Alligator mississippiensis: one gene and its partner. Each later gene encodes a partner of the first gene's protein in a complex. Links are inferred from orthologs where the notes say so. Each region holds a gene or a part of one and is shown in the gene's direction. Other genes may lie near its edges. The genes, in order: DDX46 and SF3B4.

The links.
Region 2: DDX46 (region 1) and SF3B4 share a complex: the UniProt entries of both Homo sapiens proteins name them as parts of the 17S U2 SnRNP complex. The link is inferred for Alligator mississippiensis from reciprocal best matches to the Homo sapiens genes DDX46 and SF3B4.

The regions. Positions count from the first base shown.
Region 1 is NC_081832.1:70,510,577-70,526,008, forward strand, and holds the start of DDX46 (probable ATP-dependent RNA helicase DDX46), read left to right. Parts: upstream 1-9,404; 5' UTR 9,405-9,498; coding exon 9,499-9,515; intron 9,516-11,917; coding exon 11,918-12,106; intron 12,107-12,508; coding exon 12,509-12,649; intron 12,650-15,192; coding exon 15,193-15,289; intron 15,290-15,432. Other genes in the region: guided entry of tail-anchored proteins factor CAMLG, read left to right, coding at 866-1,019, 3,292-3,749, 4,375-4,440, 6,304-6,495. UniProt on the Homo sapiens protein: Component of the 17S U2 SnRNP complex of the spliceosome, a large ribonucleoprotein complex that removes introns from transcribed pre-mRNAs.
Region 2 is NC_081838.1:18,097,169-18,112,754, reverse strand, and holds SF3B4 (splicing factor 3B subunit 4), read left to right. Parts: upstream 1-8,967; 5' UTR 8,968-9,044; coding exon 9,045-9,078; intron 9,079-9,618; coding exon 9,619-9,747; intron 9,748-10,578; coding exon 10,579-11,121; intron 11,122-11,668; coding exon 11,669-11,863; intron 11,864-13,384; coding exon 13,385-13,555; intron 13,556-14,348; coding exon 14,349-14,530; 3' UTR 14,531-14,792; downstream 14,793-15,586. Other genes in the region: MTMR11 (myotubularin-related protein 11), read left to right, coding at 1,736-1,817, 1,891-2,047, 2,450-2,537, 2,702-2,790, 2,910-3,034, 3,367-3,433, 3,586-3,656, 3,735-3,907 and 4 more. UniProt on the Homo sapiens protein: Component of the 17S U2 SnRNP complex of the spliceosome, a large ribonucleoprotein complex that removes introns from transcribed pre-mRNAs.

The DNA.
Region 1 (15,432 bases):
GCAGTTTCTGCCCTCTAGGAGCAGGGCACCTCAGTGCTCTGCGGCAGTAAGACTTATATAAAGCTGCAAACATGTAAAGCATCAAGACCATTTTCCTCAGGGGAGGCAGCCCCATGTTTCCAGCCAGCGCAATTAGGCCAGTCAAGCAAGGAGAAAAATCATTTGCAAAAATTTTCCTCGAGGTGAAACGGCAGGATGTCTTGAAACAGAAGTGGTATGGTGGGTAGGCTTTTGCATGCAGAGAGATGAGCTTGCATCTCGATTTAAACTGGACATAAGGAAAAACTTATTTACAGTTTGAGTGTCCAGGGACTAGAACAGACCCCCCCCAGAGATGGTACAAGCACTTACTCTGGACTCATTCCAAAACCTTTGGATGCTTGTGTTGCTGGGATCATTTGACCTCAGCAGACTTCCTGCCTATAGCAGGAGGGCTGGACTCAATGATCTCATGAGGTCCCTTCCAGCCCCTAATGTCTATGAAATCTATGAAATCTCCCTTTGTGGGGCGCGCACGACAGGGCACGGGGAGGGAAGAGAAATGAGGGCAGAGAAGGGTGTAGGGCTGGGAAAGCCAAAAACAAAGCCCAGTGCAGGTCAGGGGTAAGTGTGGCCTGTTCACCGCAGAGCCCACCTCCCCCTCCAGCCCATGCAGCCAGCACCAGGCCCCTGTGCTATGGTCATGGGGGAGTGGGAGGGGCTGAGGCTCTGGCCCCGCCCTCAGGCGTGGGATGACGCTCCTCTCCCCTCTGGCAGGGCAGGCCCCGCCCCCTCCGTGACGCCACGCGCGCCATGTTAGCTGTGGGCAGGGCGCGGTGCGTGCGCAGTCGGGCGGGCGGCGGGGTTGCTCCATTGTGCGGCGGCGATGGAGGCGGTGGCCGCGGGCGGCGGGGCCGGGCCCGGGCCCGGGGGGCAGTCGGCGTCCCAGCGCCGGGCCGAGCTGCGGCGGAGGAAGCTGCTGATGAACTCGGAGGAGCGGATCAACCGGATCATGGGCTTTCACCGCCCCGCGGCCAAGGGTGAGGGCCGCTCCTGCGCGCGGTGGGGCCGGGCCGGGCCGGGCCGGGCCGGTCGGGATCCGCTCGGGGCTGCGCGCTGTAAACAGCTGTTTTTTTCTATTTGTAGACTCGGTCGCTCGTTTTCTCTCCTCGTGTCTTGGCCGGGCTCCTGAAGACCCCTTGTCGCAGGTCCCTCCGCTTCCTTCTGTCTGTCCGGTGTCTCCGTCCCCTCCCCCCCGGGTTTCAGGGGTGGCACTTGGGGCAGCTGGCAGCGCGCCTGGCTCTGAGCAACGGGGCCCAGCGGTAACATCGCAAGCAATGGCTTCAGAGCAGAGGGCTAGGAAAGGGGCCGGGCCGTGGAGAGGAGGAGCGCCCGCCCGCCCGCCCGCCCGCCCGCACAGCGCCCCAGGCACCGGGGAGTGACGCGGTGGTAGTGATACAGTTAGTGATCACGGGGGGGGGGGGTGCTGCGGCGATAGTGATACAGCAGTGATGTGGTTAGTGATCACAGGGGCCCTGATACGATGATAGTATAGTAGTGATGCAGTTAGTGATCACAGGGGTAGTGGTACAGTGATAGTGATTCAGTAGTGATATGGTTAGTGATCACAGGGGTAGTGACATGGTGGTAGTGATGCGGTTAGTGATCACAGGGGGAGTGATACGGTGATACTGATATGGTAGTGATAGGGTTAGTGATCACAGGTAGTGATATGCTAGTGATCATGGGTGGTAATAGTGATACGGTAGTGATGCCGTTAGTGATCACAGGGGGAGTGATACAGTGATAGTGGTATGGTAGTGATGTGGCTAGTGATCGCAGGGGGAGTGATACGGTGATAGTGATACGGTAGTGATATGGTTCCTCATCCATAAGGATTTGCCTTTAGAAAGTAAAACTTGATCTTTTGGTGTGGGGAGGTATTTACTCGGAAAACAGAGCAGATGGTACTTGGCGCTTCTGCAAATTTTGCCTGCAGTCCCGTCTCCCAGTTCCTTGCTCTCTCAACTAGACCTGCTACTGTTTCTCCCCAGGAAGCTTCTTATGTTAATGACTGTTGCAGAGTTGTATGAATTGCACAGTCTTTCTTTTCAACTTCTGTTATGTTGTTTTATTTCATCCTTAAATTTTAACTGAAGCAATCTTTTGAAATACCAAAAGCAATATTTTTCTTTGATATGACACGTTGCTTAAAGTCATTTGCTGGCTACGGCTGTCATACAGAATTCCTCGGCAAACTTGCAGTTGATCAGAGATCATTTGTATTTCCAGAAAATTCTGTGATGAGAAGCAGTCTTGTAAGAGCTTTCAGATTTTAATTTACAAGGGTATCTATAAAGCATGAGTCAGTCTGTTTTGAAATGTACTGTTCTAAACTGCATTTTCCCCCCTGATTTTAGTATCCACGCCTAGCGTGTCTGTGTTCTTTTCTGATGGCTTCCCTTTTTCTGTCAAATACAAGGTCATTCTCTGCAGGTATAAGACTTCAGTTTTGCCATTGACTGGAGAGAGAAACAAGCCAAGATGTACTTCTCTGCTGCCTGTGGGCTGTCTTTTCCTTCTTCCTTTCATCCAATTGACTTACTCTGAATTCTCTCCTTATGCAGTTGTCTGTGCTTGGAATAAACCGCTCCTATCTAACCAGACTTATTCTTTACTCTCCCCTCAAACCCAGAGCTCTCACTTAATTTTTCATAGCTGATTGACTGCAACTACTTCAACACTTGAGATAACATACAAACAATTGAAGAAAGCATCTGCCCCACTTTTGGCTAATACTACTCAACAATTAAAAGCATACGACTTATTTGATGTGTTTGAAAGTGCTGTATTGACTTACATATTGTAGCAGTTGTACAGTGGATTGGAGCCATTTGGGTTCCTATTGCAATTGAAAAGTATCAGAAGACACTGTTGAGGTAACAGATTTTTCCTGATGAGGTTGCCTGTTTTATGGTTGGCTCTTTGGTGTTCTTCATCTGGAGTTACGGTATAATTTATCAGCAGACGCCAGGAATTCCTGAATTCTACCCCTGCTTCTAGTACAGAATTCTCCTCTTGCCTTGCTTATCCTTGGTTTCAGTTTCTCTCACTATAAAATGGGACTGCCAATGCTCACATATCTACTGAATAGGCATTCATTATTCTTTAATTTAATATATTTATTAATTGTTAAGCTGTGGTTTCACACTCGTATTCAATGTATTATCGTGGATGCCCAAAATACAACAGGGGTTAGAGGTTGGTTTGAGCAGCATGTAACGTATTCATTGTGGTGTTTATCCTCTTTAGATGATGACACTCTCTCCGAATCAAAACTTCAGCTTGAACTAGAGAAGTCCAACTCCCTCCCTGTCCCCTCAGTTTCAAAGCGAATTGTGCTGGGTGATGCTGTCTGTAGTCTGGCAGGAACAGCTGATCATGCAAGTGGCATTGCAGAGCTCAAGGGAGACAAAAAGGACTTGTTCAGCAAAACTCCTGAGCTTGGCAGTGAGGGTCCCACTGAGCTCCGGCATCGCAGCAGAGGGGAGTTGCCACCCGAACCTGCACAGCGAGCACCACGACATGGGTTAGATCAGTACATCTCGAGATTTGATGAAGCAATGAAGCTAAGGAACCAGTTGATGAGTGAGAAGCCAAGTCAAGAGAATGGGAATGCAGGGGAGGAGTTTGATTCTTTTCGGATTTTTAGACTCGTGGGATGCGCCCTTCTTGCCTTTGGAGTCCGAGCCTTCGTGTGCAAGTATTTGGTGAGTTACAAAAAACGATGCTTCAGTGTGACCAGACAAAACCCAGCCTAGTTGCTGCCAGTCTAGACATGTCATATACTTAGCTCCGAGGATGACTAGATACATAGAATGTGGTATATCAGTCCAGATGAATTGCTGGCTTTCCTTGAGGCTGGTAGTCTTCTCAGAATCAACACTATGTACTTAGTGCGGATGCTGTGTAGCAGCTGAGAGAGTACAAACTCAAATCTTAGCCCCTGGAGACTGAGAACAGTAATTAGCACCAGAGTGCTCCAAACATCTGTTTACATCTCATCTAGTACAAAATGCCAACTCTTGAATCGTAATTGGCTTTACAAAGTATTGCTATATCTCTAGCAGTAATCATAGTCTGAGGTGTTGTGAACCCCCGCACCTATCTCAGTTCAGGATCAGGCCTGATAGGGAAGAGATTAATCTTCTAATTTAGCCATCATCTATTTAGATCAGCGGTATTTATAAACATGGCTGTCATTTTCCATAGCTTTTCAGTGCAGCAGCTGAAATATTTTATTACAAATAAATGTCAGTTCCCTTGGAAGTGCAAATTACTGTGATTCCTTAACTATCTATTTGTCTAATTCATTATCTTATATTTTCTTCTCAGTCAATATTTGCTCCATTTCTTACTCTACAACTTGCCTACATGGGATTGTCCAAGTATTTTCCAAAGGTAAGCCCAGTGCCCTAACAAAAGTAATTTTGGGTGCTTTCAGCTTCCGACTTTTGTGGGAATGTATTATGGTTAGGAAGGCCTAGGTCTTCCACAGAATGTACTTTACAATATTACCCAACACTTGAGTGTACTACAAACAGAGTCAGGTTCAATAGGTATCACTCGCAGTATGAGACTTTGGCTCCCTTTTGTTTGAAGTGAAAGGCACTTAATACCCTAGCTTTTAATCTTGGAGGACCTGAATCCAAATGTTCTTAAAAGTCTTGGATGAAAATTAGTTTTGTGTCTGATTTTTGTGCTTACTTAATATTTAGCTATAGCCCAGTAGGAAGCATTTACTTGGGAAAGCTGGCTAGATTTTTCTTTGATTTGGTAGGATTTTGCCTTCCATTTACACTGTACTTCTGTGCAGTTGCTGTTTTTAGGCTCCATCCATAGGCACTGTTCATGTCATGTTTGACCAAACAGAATGTTTCCCTCTCAGTGAAATGGGTCCTTGACCTTTGCTGCCCTGAACTCAGTTTTAGAGAAGTTTGAAATGTGGCGATTTTTATTTATGCCTGTTACTTTCTGCTTCTCAACATGGCGGGATTATATCTCCTGCTTTATATTAATGGGATCGTATCACAAGTTAATTGTAAAGAAGCAACTGCTTGCTTGATGGTTTTGTCAGTCTGCTTTGTAAAGTCAGGCAGAATTAAGTACTTCACAGCCATAGTTGAAAGAGAATATTTACATGTTAAAAGGAATAGCCGAGTCAGTGTAGCAAGTAGGAATGAGTGAGAGTAGTAAATATGTAAGTAAAAACAGTGAACTTTCAAGTAATTATTCTTTAGTGGTCTGCACAAGTTACCAGACAGCGTACCAGGGTACTGGCCTCAGATCACCTGCACTAGGTTGTCTGCTAGCTAGAGCTTTTCTCTTAGTTTCTGTGTTTCTCAAAATCAGTTATTCAACCTTTATATTTCAGAGGTGAGTCTCTGAATTGAAAGCAAATGGTAGTTACCTGTATACTCTATGTTCCAATGGGACTTTAAACCTCAGGCTGGCCTGCCTGTGTCTGGGCTAGTCGAAAGTAAAGCTTCCGTAGGGAGTCTTGAGAGGAGATGGCTGAATTCCTTTTCTTCCGTTAAAAATTCTCTAATTTTTAATGTGGAGTGCCCTGACTTTGTTTGTTTACTCAGGTTATTCTGTTACTAGTATCCATTTCATTATTTTGTTAAAATTCATTGATGATTATGACTGTCTTAACATTCATAAATGATTTACCTTTTCATATAATGCGTAGTTGTGGTACTAAACTGTTCTAATTCAGATCACTTTGAAATGTCACATAGGTGAACACTGCAGTCATAAAAATGTGTTTTAAATGCAATGGGATATCAATTCAAAGGTATAGGTCCCTTGACATAACTAAAACCATGGTCCATAACAAAATGAATAGCCCATTCTATGGCACAAAAACAGCCTACACAAAGCATCCCTACCTGGCCTTCCACAAAAGTGTGTGCATGCATATATGTCCAGAAGTTATCTATATATTTTAAAGCTATACTGGCAAAAATACAGTTCTTTACAGAAGAAACCAGTGTGGATGTGAGATGGTTTGCAACATGTCTATCCTGGCCTAACTGCACTGGTGAACCTTTTGTAGACAGCTGATTAAGAGACCATCAGAACATGAATTCACACACATTTGTCAGCGATTCACACGATGATGTTAACTTCAAATGTTGACTTGTCACTCATAGTAGGAGGGAGCCCCCAGAGAAACTCATTGGATTTAAAATGTATTTAGAAGTTATGACTCTTCATACACTCAGTAATCACTACTCTTTTGTTTTGTTCTTTTTTTTTCAGTGCGAGAAGAAAGTGAAAACTACGGTATTAACTGCTGCTCTTTTATTGTCGGGGATCCCAGCAGAAGTGATTAGTCGCTCCATGGACACCTATAGCAAAATGGGAGATGTCTTCACAGATCTTTGTGTCTACTTCTTTACTTTTATTTTCTGCCATGAACTGCTGGTGTTTTTTGGTTCTGATGCACCGTGAGGGCTTGTAGACCTCAAAGTAGCAGTTACACACATTTTTTGCATTCTGTATTCCTGTAACATCTGTGGATATGCAAACTGGTTTAGACCTTTAATTTAATTCTTGTCTGTTGGAATGCTTGACAGGCATCTTAAAGTCGCTCATTTGTGAATGGATAAACAGGGTTTCAGGGTGGGAGTGGTCTTAGTACAGTGTATTCAGCTATTGTTTCTGCACATGGCAAATGTGAAGAATAGAGTGCAAGTGTCAGTGATTGATTTCCTTTACTTGTTTAACTAGAAGACATCCTTCTTCCTCCACCCCTGACATCACTTGAATTGCTGCTCCCTTTTGGCTCTGCAGTGTGAGAGCACAAATGTGCTTTCACGAAGCCCATATGTGTACACTTTGTGACTGGATACACGTAAGGACTGCTCTTCTGGTGTTGCTTCCATGTTTAAAAGAAATCCATGACTAATATAAAATGAATCCTTACGTTCCAGTGTTCAGACTCTGAATGCTGAATAAAAAAGCCTGTGGCTTTTGCAGTAGGGTTGGGCGACACATGCCTCTTCATTGTCCTGTGGCTTGGAGCCCTCATCCTCTCTTGGTGCCATAAATTATTTGTTGTGCCGGTGACGGACTTCAAGAGAGGATTCTAGAGTGAAATAAATCCTGTTGGCGTACAAATGCCATTAATTGTGAAGCAAGAAGGCACGTGTGCTGCTGGTCTCAAATGTTTCCATAAGCTCTTTAATTCTAGCCCTAATTTTACCCCGGCTTTCATGTACACCCTACTTGCGCTCTTCTTCTTTAGACAGTTCATTTTCTACAGTGAAAGCTGCACTCAGGCACCCCATTCTCTCAAGCAGTTACTTCAATAGGCATCAAATATAGCAGTTTTATTCAACTTTTAGTTAACAAGGGGATTTTTTTCTTCCTGGATCTTTGCAAGGGTGTTTAAAACAATTTTAACTGACATCTATATTCTGTTTCTTTCCCTCTGTTTATAGAAAAAGACATTTGCATGTAAACAGGGCCTTAATTGCTTAGGAGTTCTGCTCCTGCTGCTTAATAGTGCTGCTGCTCAATAGCCTAAATAGAACCCTTGGTTAGCATTCAGCAGAGCTATTTATATGTTAACTGACTTGCTAATTCCTCTCTTCTACATTTTGGTTTGAAGTCCCTCCAAATAAGCCACAATAGGCATGCTTATTCAAATCCTAAGTACTGAAACAGGCAAGGGAACAAGACTTCTTATCACCATGTTATTTTGAGTTGATTTCCATAAGAAGATCAATGTGTCCTGTGGAAGGAGGGGGTGGAAACTGACACCTTTTCTGGAGCAGATGTAGAAGCAGTGAGGGATGGGGGGGCTCCCACAGCAGATGCCTTCTGCTCTCTAGGGGAGAGAGGGTAGCACTGTCCCCAGTCCAGCAGAAATTTGGCCTTAGTGGGATGGTGTAAACTGGAACAGACTTTGAGGAGGGATCTCCATCAGCCAACCTTTCCCATTACCCATATTTGGATATTTGCTGCTACTGCATCTGAACCTGGTGTTACCCTTAACCTGTTGTCTTCTGTGTATTATTTATTTGAAGCATCCAGGTGAAGTAGACTGACACCAGATTTTCAATTGGGAGGGGATGCCTGGTTATGTTGCTAATGGTTTTGCCTCCTGTTTAATCTGGTTTTGTGTTTCTGAAGTAAACAAGACTCTGCTTTTCTGCTTAATTGTTTTCCCCTTTTAAAATATTCTGCAATATGACGTTGTTGCGCTCCTGAACCCACGATCAGACCTCTGCTCTATGTCTGAAGCAAGAAACTTGTGTTCTAAATTATGGAAGATTGCTTTGTACTGCGGTTACTTTTTGCGTCAACATCTCAGTGTAGATGTTTAAGGATAGATTGGGGGGGGGAATGACAACCTGATTTAGGTCCACTGGCAGGAATGGTTGGGACACAATTTCAGCAGATGCTGACAGCTGAGATTTTAGCTACGGTTGAAATGTGAAGATTATTCTCAGAAATGAGACACAACTTTCAGGATTATTTATCCGAATTAGCAAGTGTTGCAGGTAGCACTAGGGAGGGTGCAGAAAAAGCACTGGTTATTAATATTACATCACCTTTTAAAGGGCCCCCCCTTCTTTACTAAGCTTAAAAAAGCATTTTGATTTATACTTGTGTTTATTTTGGCGTTCTGCCCTGCTCTTTTTGCATTCCTTTAACTGTGAAATGGCTGAGCAGATCCTTTCCCAAGCGGCCTGAAATACAATAGGCCGACAAGGGTCTTTGGGTGAATATAAAAGATGTATTCACCCAAGGGACCTTGTCTGCCGATGTCCGGAGACCGACGCGACTCCAGCCGCCACCCCTGAAATATAAGGTGGAGCTTTTGAGCGGAAAGGATACGTTGTCGGGACAGGAGCAGGTAGCACCAGGGGTTGCCTGTGTCCTCGGCTCTCAAGACTTGAACGAAGCCCTCGGACTTCACGCGCGATCCAGAAACGGATCTCCTTCGTCCCACCTTCGATTTGCACCCCCGCCGCCCCTCCCCCTTTGCTCGCGCACATAAATGTATCGGACGTTTATTTCTACAGCGGTTGTTTTCTATTAAATTTATTAAAACGGCATTTGTTACTCTCAGTCAAGGTTTGATTTGCTCGGGGGTGGGGGTGGGGGAGGGATGCGCTCGCTCCTTTGTTTCACGTCTGTTTTGAGGGGGCTCCTGGGGGACCGTCCGCCCGCAGACCCCGGCCCCGCCAGCAGCCCGCTGCGAAGCGGGGGCGGGTCGCGTGTCCCGGGGGGGCGGGGCGGGGCGGGGCCGGGCCCGCACGCACAGCTGGCTGCAGGTGGGGGGGAGAAGCCCGCTGTCCCTGCGCTGCCGGCCTCCGGCCGCCAGGGGGCGCGCGCGGCGCAGGCCTGTCCGGGCCCCGCGCGCCGCCCCTCTGCCCGCCGCGCGGAATGGCGGCCGCCTAGAGCCCGCGCACCCGATCCCGGGCCAACGCCGCCGCCGCCGCCATGGGCCGCGAGTCCAGGTGAGGCGGCTCCTCCCGCCGGGGCCTTGCCGCCCGCTCCCCCCCCTCTCCGGGCTCAGCCCCCGCGCCGCTGCGAGACCCACTTCTCCGGCCGGGGCAGGCCGCTGTCGGCCCACAGGGGCCGGGCCCGGATCTGAGGGGAAACGACCTGCCCGGGGCGGGGGGGGGGTCATTCTCGGAAATGTTTTAAGGACACGGCGGTTGGGCACGGTCCCGCGCGGAGCCGAGGTGTGACCTCGTGAGGGCCCCGCCGCCGCCGTCCCTGCCACTGAGCCAGGAGGTGACATCCCTGAGCGGGGCCGGGTCCTCCTCCTCCTCCTCGGGCTGGCTGCGGGTCCGCCGCTTCTTTCCCCTCTTTTAAACGACACTTCCTGAGCAGCCATGGATCTTCGTGTGGGTGCTGCCCTGCAAGGCTGGCGCACCTCGCTGCTCTCGCTCCATCCGGCCTCTTGAAATACCGCTTTGCAGCCGTGAGCCGCGACAAGCCTGCGTGTGGGTGCGAGGCAGGCGCGCGGGTGGGGAAGCCGGGCTTTCCAAGGTCGCACACCTTGGAGGGGAATTCATTTTGTATACCCCTGGCGACCGGAGCGCTAATCCTTCTTTCCTGGCAAAAATGTAAGCAGCTACATGCTGTCTAAATCCATTTGATTTCAGTGCTTTACTGTTTGCTTTGAACTCCTGCCTAGTGTTACAGGCGATCCTCGGACACGACTGGTTCCTGAAAACCGTGTCTTAAGTCGAAATGTTGTGACTCGGAACTGATTTTTTTCCGATAGGAAACAATGTTATAAATGGAGGATTGGTTCCTGAACCAAGGATACCTTATTTTCATCAAAAATAACCCAAAATTTTGTATTCTGTCAATTATAGATGAGTAATATAGCTACATCAATGTAAATAGCAATCATATTGATTTGGAAGGACTTCTTTGAGGTGACTTTGCTGGACTGTCTGAAGGGCTCTTGGCTGGAGTCTCCTCCGGGGTCTTGGTGCAGGGTTTTGCTTTCTTAAAGAAAGTGTCCAAGGAAGTTTGGACAGATGTTCTCCAGGGAGATAGGTGACACCGCGAACTTGTTTGCTGGCTTGGCGTCGCGTCGAATCAAGCGTTGTAAGTTGAAACTGGGGTCAGAAAGTTGAAATAGGGTGTCAATTTATAAAGGTTGTAAGTGCGAAACGTTGTGACTCGAAACGTTGTAAGTTGAGGACTGACTGTACAGCGCTGTTTGCAGGTTAGCTATGTCTTCGCTTCAGTTGGTGCTCCAGTGCCTGAGATAACTTTAAGTAGCTAGCTAAGGGAGTGGTATTGGTCGAATACTCACCGCTGAATGGGGTGAGTATTCACCGCTTGCATGGTGAGACCGCTGCAGGTACACAAGTTAGGTTAGCTGCGTCTCTGCTACCCACAGTTGAAACAGTACAGACACCCCCGTGGGTATCTGCATTTCTGCAGTGGGTGCAGTGATTCCTACCTCTGCTCTTGTGTAAGATTATAAAAGTGCAAGCATTTTCAAGTCCTCGGATAAGAGATATTTGCCACGGACTGCTCTGCTATGCTCGTGCTTCTCTGTTAAGGTTTACACCTTGAAGCAGGCTCTGGTCTGAGTGATTGCTGTTTTATTACAGGGGTCCCAACCCAGATCTGGGCTGTGTTTTATGGAGAGACGGTCCGTATTTTGGAGCGTTTAGAATCTAAGCGGGCAAAACCTTGCAGGCGGAGACGGGTGAATTGACTCGCTCTAGGTCACAGCCTGTCAGTAACTGAGAAAAATACAGTCCAAGTCTGACTCCAGCCCTATGCTCTGCCCATCAAACCACAGATGCTCTTGCTAGCATATGATAGTTTTCATAGAGTTTGATAGCAGCTCTGTGGAACTAAGACTTAATGTATTTGGATAGAGGTATTTATATAAGCTGAGCAGGACTGCCCAAACCTTACAGATCATAGGGAAGTGGGGCTGGAAGGGACCTCCAGAGGTCATCTAGGCCAATCCCCTGCCTGAGGCAGGATCATCCCTATCCAAACTATCCTATACAAATCCATTGTCTAACGTCTTTACAAAACTACACAGTCAACTCTGACACAAGAGGCATGATTATGTGCAATTTTAATCTTTTATATACCAAAATGGATGGACCACCAGTAAATGCTTCTTGGAACTCTGCTGCAATTAGGAGCTGTGCTCTGTCAATGCCATCTCGTAAGAACTCTTTCAAGGGAATCCAGTCATTTCCATCACTTCAGAGGAGTACATGTGTTCATTAGTTCAGTTTTGCAGGGGCAGTAAAGCCTTTTTAAAAATTGGTTCTTTCCCTAGAGAGGACCCGGTTCTAAATGCAGCAGATGCCTCTAACTTGTTCTCCTGTGAATCTTGACTTGATTTTGTGCACTTACCACAACATAGGCACTATCGGAAGCGCTCTGCTTCACGGGGACGTTCTGGCAGCCGCTCCAGGAGTCGTTCTCCATCCGACAAAAGAGCAAAACGCGGAGAAGACAGACGTTCTAGAAGCAGAGATCGAGAACGTCGGCGTGAGAGGTCACGCAGCAGGGACAAGAGGAGATCAAGGTCACGGGAGAGGAAGCGCCCAAGGTACACGTTGCAGTACGTCTTAAGAAAGTGAATCAAAGTATCTGCCCTTCTGTGTGGGATGTTCTACCTGTGATGTTCCACTTGCTGTGGTTACTTGTCATGGGTGCCTCTGGCAGGTGTGAAATTAGGTAAAGCGTTGGCTAGTACGTGTCACACAGGTTAAGTTTATCACCCAGTGGAAAAGTATACTGTAGCTGGATTTTGTAACTCTGTTTCTGGCCTTCATGGTTCTTAGCTTCCTTTGGCAGGGCACTGACGAAAATGATTTTTCCTTCCCCCCACTTCTTAACAGGCCAACTTATGTCATGTTTTCCCCAACACAAGTTTGTTTTTATATTTAAAAAAAAAATGACAGCCATGTGTATGGAATGCTAAATAAAACACTTTTTTCTCCTGCGGCAGACGGTCCAGAAGCAGAGAGCGAGAACGGAGCAGAGAGAGGAGAAGAACACGGAGTCGGGATAGGAGACGATCCAGAAGCAGAAGTAGAGGTAGACGGTCCCGATCCCCCAGTCCTGGCAAGAACAAGAAAACAGAAAACAGGTATTGGCATTCACTGCTATAACTGCTGTCCCAGTAACAAGGCACAGTGAAACCTTACCGTAGTCTATGTTTCTGTAGGTCCTGGCTATAGCTGCCAGATAGAGGATTTAGCTAATATTAAATGAGTTTGCCTCTTCCTGTAATTATTCTTTTAGTCAGGAAACTTTTTTTTACTGTTAACAATGGCATGCAGAGGTCTTTTCCCAGGAGAGATCTCCTTTCCTTATGTGTAAGTTTGCAAAAGTACACTGAGTCTTTCACCCAAGTGACTGACAGCCCCTTTGTATGTTGCATAGTTATATTTGTTTTACAAAGCCATGACCTCATCAGCTTCTTAAGCTATTGGCAGCTGTTAGAGGATCTTCCCAGATAATTAACTGTCATTGATCCAGAAATGTACTCAGAAAGCCCATGCAGAGGGCTAGTTCATGCATTAGGTTAATTTTTCAGTTGCAGAAACTGAAATGGACTCATTTCTCTTCTGTGGACATTGGTCCTCAGTAATCAGAGAGAGAGAGAATCCAGTGGAAACCCTCCACATTTGTTGGAGAATAAAATAGGCCATCTGGAAAGATTTAACACATTTGGCAAAAAAGGTAATATTATTTAATACTTGTCATTATTGTATTTTGTAGACAGGGCATATCTTTATAAGGGGCAGCAAGCTTCTAATGAGGACATATTTGCTCCCTGCCAGTTGCTGACTTCATCTGGGATGTGGGCTGTATTCCTGGCTCTATTGTCAACTTAGTTTGTCCCCTCTGAAAAGTCAGTTGAACTCTGTTTCTCATGATCAATATTAAAATTCAAAAGGTTTTGTGAAAAATAATTTGTAATCATAAATTCTTGGATGATTGGCATTTGATCCGTCTCGTAATGCACCCCAAGTACTGGTTTCCCACTTATGAATTGTTTGACTCCTTCTTCCCACTGTTCTCTTGCAGGTTGATTATTTATTTTGGAGATGTATATATTTTTCTTTTAATAACGGGATGAGAGGCATTAATAGCAATGGATTCAGAATAGTAATGAAAGAAGAGGCAGGGTTTCTCACACTGTTGTTATGTGTGCCAGTAGTGACTCCTGAGCTTGACATTTCAGCAATTTTTTGAGACGGTGGTACGTGAACCAGTAGTGTTTGAGAGCTGTTTTTCTGTGGTATCCATGCCAGTAGATAAGTCTGTGGTATAACACACTGGAGAAATCCATGATATAGGCTAGGATCAAACTTGTACATGTTTCTTAACTGTTTGTTGAACATTGCCTGTGTGCTCAGCACCAAGTAGAACAGGGGTGCCACAGATGGCATGGGCAGCCTCTATCTGTGGCACACTGGACCAGGGAGGGGACAGGCAACACAGTGGCAGATAAGGCAGGAAGCAGAAAACATAGCAGCATATTGGGTAGAGGAATGGGATCAGAGAGACATTTGGGGAGGGTGTGGGGCTAATTTGTGGCATGCCTGCCATAAAGGTTGGCCCCCACTGATATAGAACATTAATTAGACAAGGGCCCTACCATTGGGAGTTTACATTCAAATGAACTGACTACTAAATAGTCATAGTGAAGTGGTGAAGTTTGATCTCTTTTTACACTGGGTTAGAAATAAAGTAAAACTTAACTTCAGGTCATTTGCCATTTTAAATAACTTCTTACTGGAATTTACAGTATAATTGCAAAGAGTCAAGTTGTAAAATAATTTAAAAGTATGTAAACTGTCACGCTGATGTTTATATAGAATAAGCAGGTTGATGACAATCCAGTATTTTAATCATGAGATCACAAGAATTGTACTTGGAGAAGTTGGAATGACATAAAAATGTCTTGTAAAATAAGCATATGGTTTGCATTAAAATAGCCCAGTGGGCTATGAAAAACCTTAATAAGATTTAATTGAGTAAAAGGAATTTTACATTTATTATTCTGAGTTTAGATGTTTAGATTGGAGTCATCTACTTTTTATTGGGAGGAGGTAGGCACAGTAAAATTTGTGATAAATGGATTTAATATCAAATGCATGTCTGCCTGTTGCATTCAGTTTATAGGTAGCCTTTCCTGGAGGGGAGGTGTTTTTATGTCTTTCAGGCAGTAGCCTATCCTCAGGGGGAACTTGCATTTCTAGGGCAAAGTGCTAGATCACTTTGCCATTAGAAGTGTAACAGGCAAGAATTTCTGAGTATCTGTATTCTAACTGCTGTATTCAAAGAGGTGTAAAATAAACTGTGGAGCCACTAGAGTATCAACTGTAAGTGTTTGGAAATGAAGTCTGCGACTTCCTCCCAGAAATAAATGAGAAGAACAGAACCAGAGTGTATGAATCAATGGGTCCTAATAGATTCTACGTATCTGGCAGTTGTGGGAATTATTTCCATGAAATGGAGAGATTTGCTGTGAAGTGATACATACTCTCAAAAGCATTTAAAAAGCATAAGCCTATGCATAGTGTTAATGGCAGTGATTCTGTCCAGCATGTGAAACCTCCAAAGAAAAGCTGGAACACTTTGTGAAAGTCTGTCATACATCTTTGATTTTCCCCCTTTCAGATCAAGATCTAAAGAAAAGACAGAAGGTGTAGAAGTTTCCAAGGAAAAGAAAAAAGAGAAAGAGGACAAAGAAGAAGAAAAGGATAAAGAGGTTAATGTATGTATAAATCTGCCACTGAGAGAGAAACTTGTATGAGTTAAACAGGAGCGTTCATAAATGCTGTAGCATTAGAATACATTTAGATAGGATTTATTGTAATTGGAAAGAAAAACAACTTCAGATAATCCCTTTTTAGGTCT
Region 2 (15,586 bases), on another chromosome or scaffold:
GGAACTTGAGGGGCACTTCCCCCCAAACCCCTGCACCGATCTCCTTGAAACATGGCAGGCTTTGTGGCCTCAGTAAGAGCTACCACCCCTGCAGTTTTGATCCCCCTGTGTTGTAACGCCTAGATGTGACAGGAGTTTTGCTTTCAAGAATTTGGGGTGCCGTTCCCCCCAAACCCTTGCACTGATCTTTTTGAAACTTGGCAGGGCCTCTCTGCAGAGTCTACCACCCCTGAAAAGTTCATCCAAATCAGACAAAAACCAACAAAGTTATAGATATTTCATTGATCCCCCATTATACCCTATGGCTGGATCTCGGAGGCGGCTCGGAAGCGCTCCGGGAAGCCGAATGTGGCAGCGACTTGACCTGACGTGCTGCCTCCCGCTCCAAAGCGTCTGAAGCTTCTCCAGATCCGAAGCTCTGCCCGAAGCCTCGCCCAGCCCTACTTGGCAGTGCTACGCTGGTCAGGGATCAGCAGGACAGACCCTAGGAGGAGAGGCTAAGGGACCTGAACCTGTTCAGCCTCCACAAGAGAAGGTTGAGGGGGATCTAGTGGCCTGTTACAAACTAGTCAGAGGGGACCAGCAGGCATTGGGGGAGTCCCTGTTCCCCCGAGCACTACCAGGAGTGACATGGAATAACGGTCACAAGCTGGCAGAGGGTAGATTTAGACTAGACATCAGGAAGCGCTACTTCACTGTCAGGGCGGCTAGGACTTGGAATCAACTTCCAAGAGAAGCGGTGCTGGCTCCTACTCTGGGGCTGTTTAAGAGGAAGCTAGATGAACACCTTGCTGGGGTCATTTGACCCCAGTACTTTTTCCTGCCATGGCAGGGGGTCAGACTTGATGATCTGCTCAGGTCCCTTCTGACCCTACCAACTATGAAACTATGGACGAAAGGGACTTGGGGGTCTTGATTGACCACAAGATGAACATGAGCCTGCAATGCGATGCTGCGGCTAGTAAAGCAAGCAAAACGCTGGCTTGCATCCATAGATGCTTCTCAAGCAAATCCCAGGGCGTCATTCTCCCCTTGTACTCAGCCTTGGGTGGCCGCAGCTGGAGTACTGCATCCGGTTTTGGGCTCCACAATTCAAGAAGGATGTGGAGAAGCTTGAGAGAGTCCAGAGCCACGTGCATGATCAGAAGTCAGGAGAACAGACCTTATGATGACAGGCTGAGAGCTATGGGACTCTTCAGGCTGGAAAAGCGCAGGCTCAGGGGTGATCTGGTGGCCACCTACAAGTTTATCAGGGGTGCTCACCAGGATCTGGGGGAACGTCTGTTCACGAGAGCACCCCGATGACAAGATTGAATGGTCACAAAGTCCTCCATGACCGTTTCAGGCTGGACGTAAGGAAGAACATCTTTACTGTCCGAGCCCCCAAGATTTGGAATAGCCTGCTGCCGGAGGTGGTTCAAGCGCCCACTTTGAATGCTTTCAGGACACATTTGGATGTTTATCTTGCTGGGATCCTGGGATCCCTGCTGACTTCCTGCCCCTGGGGTAGGGGGCTGGACTCGATGATCCTTCGGGGTCCCTTCTAGCCTGAATGTCTATGAAATCATCCCAGTTCCCGAATCACAAAGGACTGGGGGATTTGGGCTGTGCCAGGACCCCCAACTCCCCTCAGCAGTGCTCAAACTGGGAGCCGGGGGACATGGGGTGCTCCCCAGGGGGGGAAGGTGCTCCTGGTAGCCCTGCCCCAGCCCCGCTCATGGCTGCCGCCTCCCAGGTGACAATGGCCATCGCTCGGGCCCAGGAGAGTGACAGGGATGTGGCAGCCTGGTCCGACTCCACCCAGCTGAGGAACCTGGGTAAGTGATCCTGTGCCTGGCCGGGAGGGCAGGGGCCCCATGGGCACTGTGCTGACTGGGCTCCGGCTTGCAGAGAACGCCCAGCGGAGCCCCGAGGAGGAGGGGGAGGAAGATCCGGCGCCCACGCTGCTCTTCAAGAGCCTCCAGGACTGGGAGCAGGAGCTGCGGCGCCTGGGGCCCGCAGGCTGGCGGGTCAGTGTGGCCAATGAGCGCTTCGACATGGCCACCAGGTGAGCGGGGGTGTGGGGCGGGCAGGATCTTTCTCACCCCCCTTGCCCCGTCTCCACTAGAAAATGCAGGAGACCTCCCCAAATCCCCAAGGGATCCAGGGTACTGGAGAGACCAGATGCTTGGGTTTCCTGTTCTCCACAGCCCCTGTTCCTAGACCCGGGGACTGAGACTTGTGGGGGCAATGGAAAGCTTTTGCTTTTGCTTGTGCTTCCGCCCTGGATGCTCGGGGGTTTTGTGCTGTGATGGGCTTAAAGTGCCCAGAAAGCCAGGTTGGGGTGGGACCAGGCTGGGATCAAACTCTTGGGAGGGAAGGAGGATCCCGAAGGCCGAATCCTGGGATAGAGGGTTGCAGGGGGCTTGTGGGGAGGGTCTGAGCTGTCTTCCCCACGTCATGCCCATAGCCTCCCCCGGTACCTCTGGGTGCCTGGCCAGCTGCTGGACAACGAACTCAAACGAGCCTTTGCCCACTTCAACCAGCGACGCATCCCAGTGAGTGACCCCCTCCCATCATCCAGGGTGACCCTCCCCAGCCTGAACCAGCAGGGGGGAGGGAAGAGCTCTGGCTTCAAGCTGGAGGAAGGGGATGGGGGTGCAGGGGTGGGGGAAGCAGCCTGACATGGATTTTGCCCCCCTGTGTCTGCCCTGCCCTGCAGAGGCTCTGCTGGCGGCACCCTGGGGGCAGTGACCTGCTGCGTGCTGCGAGCTTCCATGCTGCCTCGGACCCTGAGAAGGAGGACACAAGGTAGAAGCCACAGGCATGGGGATGTGGCGCTGTGATGGGGGGTGGGTTGCTGTGCTGAGGCCCTAGCCTGGCTTAGGGGGGCCAGCAGCACCCGTCTTATGCCCCATGTGTCTCTGCAGGGCAGTGGAGGCACTGCTGCTGGCTGGGCATGCGCGATGCGTGGTCGTGGACACAGTGGCCGACTTGCCCAGCTCCACCGAGATCCAGTTGGCCCATGTGCGGCTCCGCACCCTCTGCTCGCCCGGTGAGGAGCTTCCCCTGCCCTGTGTCTCTCCTGGGAGCTAAGAGAGTCGGGCTCTTCTTCCACGGATGTTGGCTGAGCTGGGAGCTGGCTCCCTGCCTCAGTTTCCCTGCTCGAGCAGGTCTCATTCATCTCTGGGGCAGCAAAGGGTGGATGGGACTCGGGAGACGGGGTGTCGCTTCGCTTCTTCCCCACCACAGACCCCCTTGGGGGACTTGGTCATGTTCTCTTACTCTGCTGCTACCACCTGTGGAGTGGGGAGGGTCATTCCCACTCATGGCTGGGGTGGCTGCTGGAGGATTCCATCTCTGTCCCCCTGCCTGGCTGCCTTCCAGACCCCGCCGTGGCTGATGAGAAGTGGCTGTCTGCGCTGGAGGGGACCCACTGGTTGGACCACGTCAGGTGAGAGCTGTCCCTCCCTGCTCCCAAGACATCCTCTCCTAGCACCCAGGCCAGGCTCGCATGCAGCCATGACCCCAGTTTTCCCTCCCCTCCCCTCCCTTCCCCTCCCCTCCGGTGCCCCCAGCTCTGCTAGCCACCCCATCCCCTTGCAGGGCCTGCGTGAGGAAGGCTAGCGATGTGGCTGTGCTGCTGGCAGAGAGGCGCTGCTCTGTTGTGCTACAAGGTAGAGACTCCCCCACCGCTCGCCGGGGTCCCCAGGCCACGCTGCCAGTCCCCCGCTCACCCCGTGCTGCCCCCACAGAGTCGGACGACCGAGACCTCAACTGCCTGGTGGCCTCGCTGGTGCAGCTGCTGGCCGACCCCCACGCTCGCACCCAGCTGGGCTTCCAGAACCTGGTGCAGCGGGAGTGGGTGGCAGCCGGACATCCCTTTGCCCAGCGCCTCAACCTCTGCCGGGATGGCGACCGAGGCGAGGTGAGCCCAGGGGCAACCAGCGGGGGGCATCATGGAGCCTGTTCCCACTGGCTTCCAGGTGCCCTGGCTTGGAGCTGGGGGTGGAGCTGGCTGGGTGAGGCAGGGACCCAGAAGACCCCTGGGATTTGGGGCTTGGACCCCATCCCAGCCCCACATGACTTGTCCTGGTCCCCAGCTGCTGTGTTCTACCCCAGAGGCAGCCGCATTGCCATGGCAGCTGATCCCCCACCCCGCCCTCCCTCCACTGGGGCTGTCCGTATGTTGCCGCGTTCCACCCCAGAAGCGGTCGTATTTCGCTGTCAGCTCATTGGGGCTTAACCCCTCTCTGCAGGCTCCAGTGTTTCAGCTCTTCCTGGACTGCGCCTGGCAGCTGCTGCGGCAGTTCCCAGCTGCCTTTGCCTTCACCGAGGCCTATCTCCTGGCCCTGCACGACAGCAGCTACGTGCCTTTCTTCAGCACCTTCCTCTTCAGCTGTCAGTGGGAGCGGAGCCGTGGGGGCCAGGTGGGTCCTGGGGTTCAGGATGGGCCTGGGAGCTGGCTCTGCTCTGCCTTGGGAGGGGTCCGGTCTAGGGGTTGGAGTCAGGACTCCTTGGTTCTGTCCTCGGCCGTGGGAGGTGAGTGGGGCCCCCAGGTCAGGGGATGGGGACTTCTGCGTTCTCTGCTCAGCTGCAGGCGGGGACTGGGTTCCGCTTGTTCAAGCCAGGGATGGGAGTGAGGACACTGGGGCTTCCTGGGAGAAAAGTAGGGTTGGAGCAGGGGACTGGGGCTCCTGGGTTCTTCTACCCCTGACTGCTTCGTGCCTCAGTTTCCCCGTTTGTCCCACAGGGGTTTTGCCCCCTGCTGCTGGGAGAGCTAGGTAACATGATGTTTCCTTTAAAGTGTTGGCAGTGGGGAGCAGCTGCTGTGTGTGCGCTCCTCCCCTCCTCACCCCCTCTGTCTGCACCCCCAGCACCGGGCCTCCAGCCAGCTGTACACACCCGTCAATGGCTGGCGGGACGCCGCCAACCTGGAGATCCTGCCGCAGGCCCCAGTGGGAGGGGGTGCTTGCCTTCCCCCTGTCTGGGCCTGGGCGCTGCACTACAGTGCCCAGCAGCGGGCGCAGTTCCAGAACCCCATCTACACTAGGGCCAGTGATGGGCACATGGCCCCGCCGGGCTGCAGCAAGGTGAGTGCGGTTGCCTCTGTGTGGGGTGGGTCCGGGCACTACAGGCAGCTCTGGGTGGGGGCTGTGTGGGCAGGCAGGCAGGCTAATGGTCACAGCACAAGGGACGAGGAGCTGGACAACTTGGTCTTCCTCCTGGTTGGGATGGGGAAGGAACCCAGGAGTCTAGCCTCGAGTCCCCTCTAGCCCTGCTGTGTCTTTGCTCCCTGCTATGTCCTGTCCCCCTTCCCAAAGCCCCAGCCCACGTCCTGCCTCTCTCCAGCTGAAAGCCACCCTGTCTGAGACTGGGGCTGTGTTCCTCCTGGCCCGGGGGGGCTTGGCCCCGCAACCCCACCTCTTCCCCTGGAAGAACGGCTCACTCGTCAAGAAGGGCCCGTGGCGGGTGCCATCCTCGGACAGCCTCAACGACCAGTGGGGCTGGCCCAGCAGCTGCCCTGCCTTGCCTGGAGCGGTCCTGGTGCCTGCCTGCACGGGGTCGGCGATCCAGCTCTGGAGACGATGCTACCTCCGTGGGAGCCCCGAGCGGCAGGTGAGGGCCAGGCTGGGCTCGGGGCAGCTCGGTGGGGGCGGTGCTCTGCCACTGCCACCTCCTGTAACCTCAGTCAAGTCCCTTTGCCCCTCCTGTGTTGATTCAAACCATTGAATCTACCATTCAAACCATTTGCCCTCATTGCAACAGGGTGGTGTGGGCCAAGGGGCTGGATCTAGGGTGGAGAGGGGAATGGTGGAGAAGGAAGCTGGAAGCCTTAGTATCCAGTGGGACTCCCCACGTTCCCCTGCAGCATCTTCAGGACGGGGGCTATGTACAGCACCGAGTGTGCTACAGCAATGCTTTTCATCAGCCCCTGGGTGTAGCCCAATGAGGGATAAATCGAGCTGGTCCTTGTCAGGTGCCCAGCGAGGTGGGTCTGGGCTCCGGCTGTTCCAGCCTCTCCATGCACTAGCTGATGGCACTAAGCTAGCCAGTACCCCAGCTGCCTGCCCTGACCCCATGCCTCTGCTTCTTTTCCCCCCTGCTCAGCGCGGCCTCTTCCCTGCAATGCTCACCGACCTCACCGAGGAGCTGGAGTTGCTTCAAGAGTGTCTGAACGATGGGCACTGGAGGGCCACGTCTCCCCCCAGCCCTGCGGAGTCGGAGGAGGCAGGAAGCCCCCTTTCCCCGTCCCGCTGATGGTGACCACTGCTGGGAGAGGATGTTAGGCAGCGGCTGGACTCACATGACCGACTTCCCCGGCGTTCAGACCTGTCCACCTGCATGTTGGCAAAGAAGCCAGTGCCCACAGGCTGTTGTGTGCAGCTCATCTTGGAGACGGGCACCCGGATACTGCTGGATTTTCGGTCCCAGGCCTGGAACTTTGCCCAGCCCTTGGCATCTACTGAGGGGTCGCAGATATGTTGCCCAGTTGTCCTGGTGACTGGGCATCTCCCAGCAACATGGCAGAGGGGACCCGCATCTCCAGAACGAGCCCTAGAGATGGAGCTCTCCCCTTGGTCCCAGATCCACGGTCATCCTGGCTCTGGGGACTGTGGAGGAGCCCTGCCCTGCTGCTAGTTAGCTGTCCCTTCCCTGCGGATCGTGGGTGGGTCTGCAGCACCTTCCACCCACCTAGCCAGGCTGCTTCTGCTGGGTTTTCCCAGTTGGACCCCTCAAAGCAGGCAGTAGTGAGGAATCTTTGGGGTGGGAGGACTGGAAGACCCCTGTCTCCCCTGCCCTAGAGGCTCGGATGCATTGTAAGCTGCTGTGTACAAGGGAGTAGGTTGGGGAGAGGGGGCGTGGTATTTGCTGTAATCCTGCTACCTCCAGAAGCACTTTTGAAGTCCCTGAGGAGTTTTACTGTAATGCGCAAAAAAGCGTCCGGAAACCCTGCTCGTGCAAACAGACACACAGTTGCACCACATGGAAAGGCAAAAAATGTGGCGTGTACATGCACTCCCCCAAGTCCAGGTTGCGGCTGCTGCTTTCTTGCAGAGGGACAGCAGCCGGATCTGGGATTGTGAGACCATCTCTTGCAGACTCTCTTCCTTGAGCTCTAGGTCCCATTGCATCAGCTGCACATCAGGCTGTTGCATGGGCTGGTGTGGATCTGGGACATCCTCTCTGTCCCCCATGGCCAGGATCAGACTCGACCCTGTGTTACCACCTGTTCTCTGCGCTGACAAGCTTGATGGGGTGGTGGTGCCTTACGGCTGGGAATCTTCCTGACCCCTCTGGTGAATTGGGCCTTCTCCAAAAGCCCATCCTGTCTGGGAGCTTCACAGCCCAGCAAGGGGAATCTTCCCAGCGGGGTGGATTCAGGCCCTTGCTACTAGGATTCAGGGGATGGCCCCACATGGGGAAACTTGCTGGAGTCTTTCAGGTCCTTCCAAACTCCCTGCAGCTCCCCCACTTCAGTATATGCAGACATTGCTGATGGTAGCTCAGGGCCAGTATGTTCCTCCCTGCTTTGGGATCTCTTTCTAACCCTATAAAATCTGCAGCAGAGGAAGGGAGGGGAAGGGGGAACAACCTCACTGCTGATTAGGTGTTTCTATTGCAGGATTTTTTTTCTCAAGGCCCTGGCACAGTTATCAGTAACACATTTTGTTTAAAGCTATTTGTATTATTTTATTTTTTTAAAAATAGCTCTAGCTATAATTAGTAACCGGCAGGAGATGGGTTTCCATTGGGCTTGAAGCACTTTAGGCAGAACCAGAGACTACACATGGATGAGCTTATTCACGGTGTGTGCACATGCACGTGCTTCTCGCCATCTATTTCACTTAATAGAAAGGATCCCTTTAATTTCATGGGTTAGAAAAGGATCGGTGCAAGGATCGAACGCCTCCCCTTCTCGCAGGGCTTGAAAGCAGTGGAGTTGCAGGATGGGCAGAGGCAGTCACAGCTGAAAGTCCAATGCCGCTTTGGAAAACACTGTGCCGGTTGCCTGAAAACGATGGGGAGCCGTGCGCACTTCATCTTAAAAACTCCTTCCAGCCCCATGAGAGGCCTGGGGGGAAGAGCTGAGTGTCTCCATCGCTCCTTAAAAAGATGCCGGCCGGGGGCCTGGGCTCTCCCTTGAAGCAACTCCTTTGGTTACTTCTTAAGAAGTCTTTGGGTGGCCGCGGCGTTCGGATCCCGCGTCCCCCGCGACGCGAGGCAGGAGGTACGTCGCGATCCCACCGAAGGGCATTCTGTTTTTTCCTAGTCTGTATATTTTTGTAGTGACGTTTCTATTTAAGAGCCCAATAAACGCAGTATTTTTAAAGCTACGGGGTGCGGTGGCGTGTTTGAAGGACATGTCCCAGTTCACCCCAAAAGGTCGCGCGAGAGGCTGCAGTCTCCAGGTGCCGTTCGTGAGGGCGGGCGAAATCATCTCGACGTCCCGTGTGGTGCCAAATCCCACGAGCCTCCGATTCAAGGGTATTATCAGCCAGTTAATCATTACAAGTAGGACTAACGACTGATAACCCTAATGAACATGCTGGGTAGATATCAAAGTACTTCACTCAGCAGCCGCTATCGGCATTTCCTCTTATAGGCGGGGAAACTGAGGCACAGAGCGGCCCTGCAAGGACTCCCCCTGCAAGCCAGGGCTATACCTGGGAATTGCGCCAGGTTTGAAACCGGCTGCTCTGCCCCTGGGCAAGTCTCGTCCTTTTTCTAGGCCTCAATTTGTTCACCTGCAAAATGGGTGCTGTGCTAGTTATTGGCAGCAAGCCTAGGCCCTGTTGTTGTTATTACCAGCGTGTCCCACAAGGCGTTAACATCAGCAGCAGCTCAGACACCTTCGCAAGCCGCTTCCGCCCGGCTCCAACATGGCCGCCCCGCGCGCGGCTGCAGCTCTCGCCCGATTCCAACATGGCCGCCTTTGGCCAACATGGCCGCTGGGGAGCGCACTTCCGGCTTAGACGGGAACCGGAAGTGGTGTCGGGAGGGGACGAGGTGAAGGGTCGGAGGTCGCCTGGCGGCGGCGGCGGCGGCTCAGCGCGGAGGAGATGGCGGCCGGGCCCATCTCGGAGCGGAACCAGGGTGCGACCCCCCGGCCGGGCCGGGCCCGTCTCGTCCCTCCCTGGGCGGCGGCGGCTGCCTTGCTGGGGGCGCCCCGGGCCAGGTCCACGTGTCGGGGTTTTAAGCCCCCAGCGCGCGGGCGCTGCTGCGGGCCGGGCCGGGCCAAGGCCTCTGGCCCCAAAGGGGCAGGCAGGGGTTTCCCCCCGGCGCGGGGCGGACTGGGGGGTTTGCGTGAGGACCCTGCGACGTGCTCGTCCGTGCTGCCGGGGGGGTCGCCGTGCACTGACCCCCTTCTGGGCCCTCGGGGACACGGGCAGTGTCCGACTGGGTCCATCCAGCCCAGTTAATGCAGCGCCAGGGCGGCCCTATAAGCCGCCCCCTTCTTGAACGTGGCCTTGCTGGCCCCAAATTTCTCCGCAGCGAGGGTCTGGGGTTTGCGTCACAGAGCGAGGAAGGTTTTGCCCTCGCTGTCGTGCTCTGAGCCCCCAGGACTCGGCCCCGGTCTCTGCCCCTGTTCGAGCCCGTGACTGACGCCCCTTTCTTTCGTCTCTCCCTGTCAAGATGCCACCGTCTACGTCGGCGGCCTGGACGAGAAGGTCAGCGAGCCGCTGCTGTGGGAGCTCTTCCTCCAGGCTGGCCCCGTGGTCAACACGCACATGCCCAAAGACCGGGTCACGGGCCAGCACCAAGGTGAGAAATCTCCATCGTGGTAAAACCTGGGTTTTATATGCTGGACGCGGCAAGGGAGAGGGGAACAGGGGGGAAAACCCTGATCGGACCCAGCTCGCTCTTCCTTTCAGCGTCTGCTCTCTGCTGCCACGTGACAGGAGACGGGGCAAAGTGGGCCTGTGGCCTCACCCAGTAACTGGCAGTTCTTGTGTGGGTCAGCCCCCGCTGGTAGGGAAAGGCTTTCAAGGACCTTGTCTTCCTAGTCATCTTCCATGTTGCTGGAGCAGGGAGTAAATGGTGCATTAGAAGTGAGACCTACGGTGGTAGCGCACCCGTGCTCAGAGAACAGGGCCCTGAGCTGCCAGGCAGAAGGACGGCTCTGAGGACTGACAGGAAGGGTGGCCCAGAAAGCTTTGAGACTACATATGTATTGTGCATGTTTCAGTTCTCGTAGTGCTTTAGTGCAGCAGCGGGTGTGCCCCTCCTGTTGCACTCAAATTAGTCTGCCACAAAGGTTTCCCCCTACTGAGTTAAACTGATACAACGTATCGGAGCAGGGGGTGAGAGAACTTGGGAAGAAAAAGATCCCTGGGTTATATGGTCATATATACATGCACTGAGGTGGATCTGACTGGCAGGTGGAGCAGAGAAGGTTTCCCATCAGCAGTTGGGATCAGGGTAGGTGTGAAGGGGGCACTTCCAGATGAGCCAACAGGAGAGAGAAACGCAGAGGAAGCAGGGTTTTGCTCTGATGGGGCCAGGGGTCGTGAGGAAGCGGAGAGCAAGGGGGAGAGGGGTTCGAGTGGGTCCCAGGGGCTGCATCCCATCCCAGTGAATTGCGGTGTGTTGTAGGCTACGGCTTTGTGGAGTTCCTCAGTGAGGAGGATGCCGACTATGCCATCAAGATCATGAACATGATCAAGCTGTACGGGAAGCCCATCCGGGTGAACAAGGCCTCGGCACACAACAAGAACCTGGACGTGGGCGCCAACATCTTCATCGGCAACCTGGACCCAGAGATCGACGAGAAGCTGCTGTACGACACCTTCAGCGCCTTCGGCGTCATCCTGCAGACACCCAAGATCATGCGGGACCCCGACACGGGTAACTCCAAGGGCTATGCCTTCATCAACTTCGCCAGCTTCGACGCCTCAGACGCTGCCATCGAGGCCATGAACGGGCAGTACCTCTGCAACCGCCCCATCACCGTCTCCTACGCCTTCAAGAAGGACTCCAAGGGCGAGCGTCATGGATCAGCAGCTGAGCGCCTCCTCGCTGCCCAAAACCCTCTCTCGCAGGCTGACCGGCCCCATCAGCTGTTTGCAGACGCCCCTCCTCCGCCGTCTGTGCCCACCCCGGTTGTCACATCCCTGGGCCCCGGGGTCACACCACCAGGTGAGGGAATCTCTGTGCTGTGCCCCCCGGCAGGGGGGGCGTTGCTTAGTTGGTGGCTGGGTGCAGTCTGTCACGGGTTTTTGCTCTCTGGGTTGGTATTGAAGCAATGCCAGGGCTTTGCTGGACCACAGGGAGGAATGTGGCAAGCGTGCCCATTGCTCTGGGTTGGCACTGATTTGTTGGCCGGGGTCTTGCCTACATGTGGGGCCCGGAACACAGCTCTGGGGGCTCAGAACGCCAGCCCCTTGCTGTGCTCGGGCCAGGGGGTTTTCAAGCCTGGTTCTTGACCCCACTTAGAAAGGAACGCTGCCTGCCCCCCAGGTGGTTGGCCATGTCACCTGCTCTGAGATGAGTATCTCTTGTACTGGACCAATCAATGCAAAGCTTTCCATCCCCAAGTTGATTGGCCCATCACTGGGATGCCTTGCTCCCCTGAGCCATGCCATTGGCTCTTGCGTGGCTGGGAAAGGCGGGGCCGCAGCATGCAGGCCTGTGGGGTGATGATTTGTGCAGGGGTAGTGCTCTCACTGATCCTTTGCTCCCTCAGGCATCCCACCCCCCGGCTCGTTCCCCCCACCGGTGCCACCCCCTGGAGCCATGCCCCCAGGAATGCCTCCTGCCATGCCCCCTCCACCCATGCCACCAGGCGCTGGTGCCCCTGGCCCACCATCTGGAGCTGCACCCAGTGGAGGACACCCACCGCACCCACATCCCTTCCCACCGGGCGGGATGCATCACCCAGGTAAGGTGTTGGGAACAGGCTGGGCTAGTGGACAGAGCACTGGACTGGGCGCTAATGCCACGTAACTCAGTTTCCCTTTTCTGTAAAATGGGCACAGTGACACTGGCTTCCTGCCTGATTCACTGAGCCCTGCTCTAGACAAAATTCCCATGCAAGAGTAAGTGCTTAGTGATTTATTAACGAGGGTGTTAATAATCCTGCTCTTCAGTTAGAGGGGGGGGATGTCTGAGCAGGGAAGCCAGGGTGGAGTGGTCTGGGTCAGTGTGTCTCATCGCTGAGCCTTGATTTTTAAAATTGCCTGCATTCTTTTGGAAATGGCTGGCTTCCATCAGCTGGATGCTTCGTGGCTTGGACTGAATGTGAATGTTAGGGATTGGTCCCTGGGAGCCTGGCACTGCCCCCATCTGGCCACCTGCACTGGGATTGGGGCCTGGCCACCCCCCCCCCAGCCCCCCTCAGGTGAGATTGGGCCCTTAGTTCAGGATCTCTTGCCAGATCCCCTGACCTTGGTTTCTGGTTCAAATGGGTGCCTTGCACACAGATGGTGTTTGCACCTGCAGCTGTGGTCCTGGGGAGCTGAAGGCCTAAGGCTGAACACTGCCCTTGTCTTCCTACCCCTTTTTTATGCTCTCAGCTCCCTCCAGAGGTAGCCAGTTAAGGCCAGTTGATCTGAAAACCACTTTAAAATGGCTTAAATGCCTCAGTTTCCCCTCACCGTGGTTCTCAGCCCCGCCCCCACACACTCCCAGCCCTCTCCCTTTCTGCCTGGTTAAGAGGCTTTGTGTGTGATCCGGGAATGGGCTATGGGTGACCAGATGGCAGCTGTCACCTCCAATTACACGCCAGCTTTGGGGCCTTCAAAGTAGGCAATTACATGTGACAAATGGTGTTGTGTGTCATTGTCATCGGCACACCCCCCCCTCCCCCCCAATAGCAGTATGCCTGGGTGTCCAGGCTTCTGCTAAAAAGATTGGGGGGGGGGATCTAGGTTGAAAAGTGAGTAAATAGGCAGTTTTTTGCCTGGTAGATTCCCCTCCGAGCTGCCTAGATGGTTTGTTTGGGCCGTGCCCCTCCCTGTTGCCAGGGAGATGGGGGAATTCGTTAGCAGTGTCCCCAGTCTATCAGCCAGGATACATCTCTCGAAGCTGCTGCATGTAAGCAGGGAAAGCTGTGCTGGACGGATCCAGCAGAGAAATGGGGCGCAAGGTATTGATGGAGACAGAGCAAATCTGAAGGATGTAAAGGCATCTCCGTACCACGGGAGGCCTCAGCCCAGCTCAGTTATGGGGCTTGAGACCAAGCGGGAGCTGGCTGGTCTCTTCCTCCTGGGATCTCTGGGCTAGTGGATCTGAGGGTCCCTTCTGCTTCCAGTCCTGCCCCAGCAGGCTGGGGGAGTTGGGCAGGAGCTGTGGCTGTCCAGTGCCCCTAGCCGGGTCTGCTGTGCAGCTGCCCTGATCACAGCTTCCGTTTGAGCGGGTCTGAGAGCCCATGACGGTCTCACTGTGTCTGTCTCCTCCCCAGGGATGCCGCCAATGCAGGTGCATCATGGACCCCCTGGCATGGGCCAGCACCACCCGGGACCCCCGGGCTCCGGCGGGCAGCCCCCACCGCGCCCACCCCCTGGCATGCCGCACCCAGGGCCCCCGCCTATGGGCATGCCGCCCCGTGGGCCACACTTCGGGTCCCCCATGGGTAAGTACAGGTGTGGTGGAGGGGGAGAAATGGGACTCCTGAGTTTGCTTCCTGCCCCTGGCACCGACTTATTGTGGGACCTTGGTCATGTTGCTTCATTTTGCCCCCCATCCACAAGTGGGGGTGGGGAGATCTTACCCAGAGTTAGAATCATAGAAAGAAGAACTGGAAGGGACCTATAAGATTATCAAGTCAGGTCAGGTCCCCTGCCATGGGCAGGAGGTAATTGGGCTCAAACGAGCTCAACGAGTTATTTGTCCAACCTCCTCTTAAAGACCACCTCTGCTGGAAGTGTTCCAGATTCTAGTTATCCATACAGAAAAGAAGTTTTTCCTTATGTCCAGCCAAAACTTTTCCTTGACTAGCTTGTGTCCATTAGTCTGTGTCTTCCGGGGGGAGGGGGGGGGCTTTTCTGAAAAGTTATTCACCTAGGTCCTGGTGTTCGCCCTTGACATATTTGTTGACAAGTTGTTCCCAAGACTGAAAAGCAATTAAATATGTAGATTTGTAGTAGGTAGATCCCTGCCCAGCTGTCCCATTGGCTGAACTGGGCCATGCCCCTTCCTGTTGCCATGGAGACGGGGAGGTTCATTAGCAAGTGTCCATCGTTCTTGGCTCTGCCTGCCTCCCCGTGGCCACAGCAGTAAGCTGGCCCAGCTTCACTGGTATCCTCCAGCACTCCTGGCCAACGGACTAGGGGTGAAGTCAGCCTGGGGGAGTCCTCTGAGGGCTGTCTGCCCTGCAGCCTCTGCACGGAGCTGAGGCTAAATGCCAGGATCCTCTCTCCCTGCAGGTCACCCCGGCCCCATGCCGCACCATGGGATGCGTGGGCCGCCTCCGCTGATGCCCCCCCACGGCTACAGTGGCCCCCCACGGCCACCACCTTATGGCTACCAGCGGGTCCCAATGCCTCCACGACCAGCTCAGAGACCCCCGGTGCCCCCACGGGGCCCCCTGCGAGGACCCCTGCCTTAGGAGGCACTGCATGGAGGCCTGAAGAACCTTCCTGCCACAGATCCCTCTTCAGTCCCTGGATCTCAGCTTGTGCACGGACCAACGTTCCCAGGCCCGGGAGCCTCATCAGTGTCGTATAACACCCCCCCAACCCCCTCCTCTTCCTTGGACCAGGCCTTATTCTTTCTCTCCCTCATTCTCTAGGATTTTAATGAGAGGGTTTTTCTATGTAAAGCAAGCGATCAGCCCTTTGCAAATAAACCAACTGGGTTTCTCTCGCCAAGGTGGCTCAGTCTTCTTTCAGGCTCAGTAGCACAACCTACTTCATCCCCTCTTCCTACCTCCTGTATGTCAGGGACACTGGATCATGCAGGACTCGGCAGCCCCTTGTGTGGGGTTCGTGTATGCAGTAGATCCATGCTTGGGGAGCAGCGTCTGGTATGTGGAGCTGCATCTAGTAGTAGGATGGGAGACTTGGGCGTTGGGAGCACAGCAAGGTCTTCGTATGTCTTAGGGAGCATGTCCTAGTCCCAAGCAGCAGGAGCCCTGGCTACATGGTGCTCCCCTGAGACTCCATCCAGTTGGCTTTGAACCAGCTCTGAGCCAACTCCTCTCAGGGTCTGAGCAGGGGGTAGCACTGACCCCTCCTGGGGCTGCCTCTGCCTCATGTAAGTAAAGGGTTTGGACTTGTTTGAGCCAATGTTTTTAGCAGGTGTTCTGCAAATCAGGCCTGATGCCCTCCTTAAGTGCCACTCCAATCCCCTTCCCCTGTCCCATCTGCTGCTCTGCTTTCTGCTCCCCCATCTGCCATGTGCCCTACACAAAGGCTGTCCATACGGCTGCTATGCCACGGCTTGGCTGCCCTTGCTTTAAAACAGCAGTGGACAAGGCAAATAACATGTCTTCACTGGGGATAAAACCTGCTCTCCTGAGCGCTGGATGCATCCCTTGCAGAAATTAGCCCCTGTGCTCCCTGCCCCTCTCCTGCAGGCTGCTGTGGAGGAAGGAGGGAATGGATTTGAAAGCCTTCCTTGAGCTGCTAGCGGTGGGGCTGGCTGTGTGGATGGGCAGAGCGGG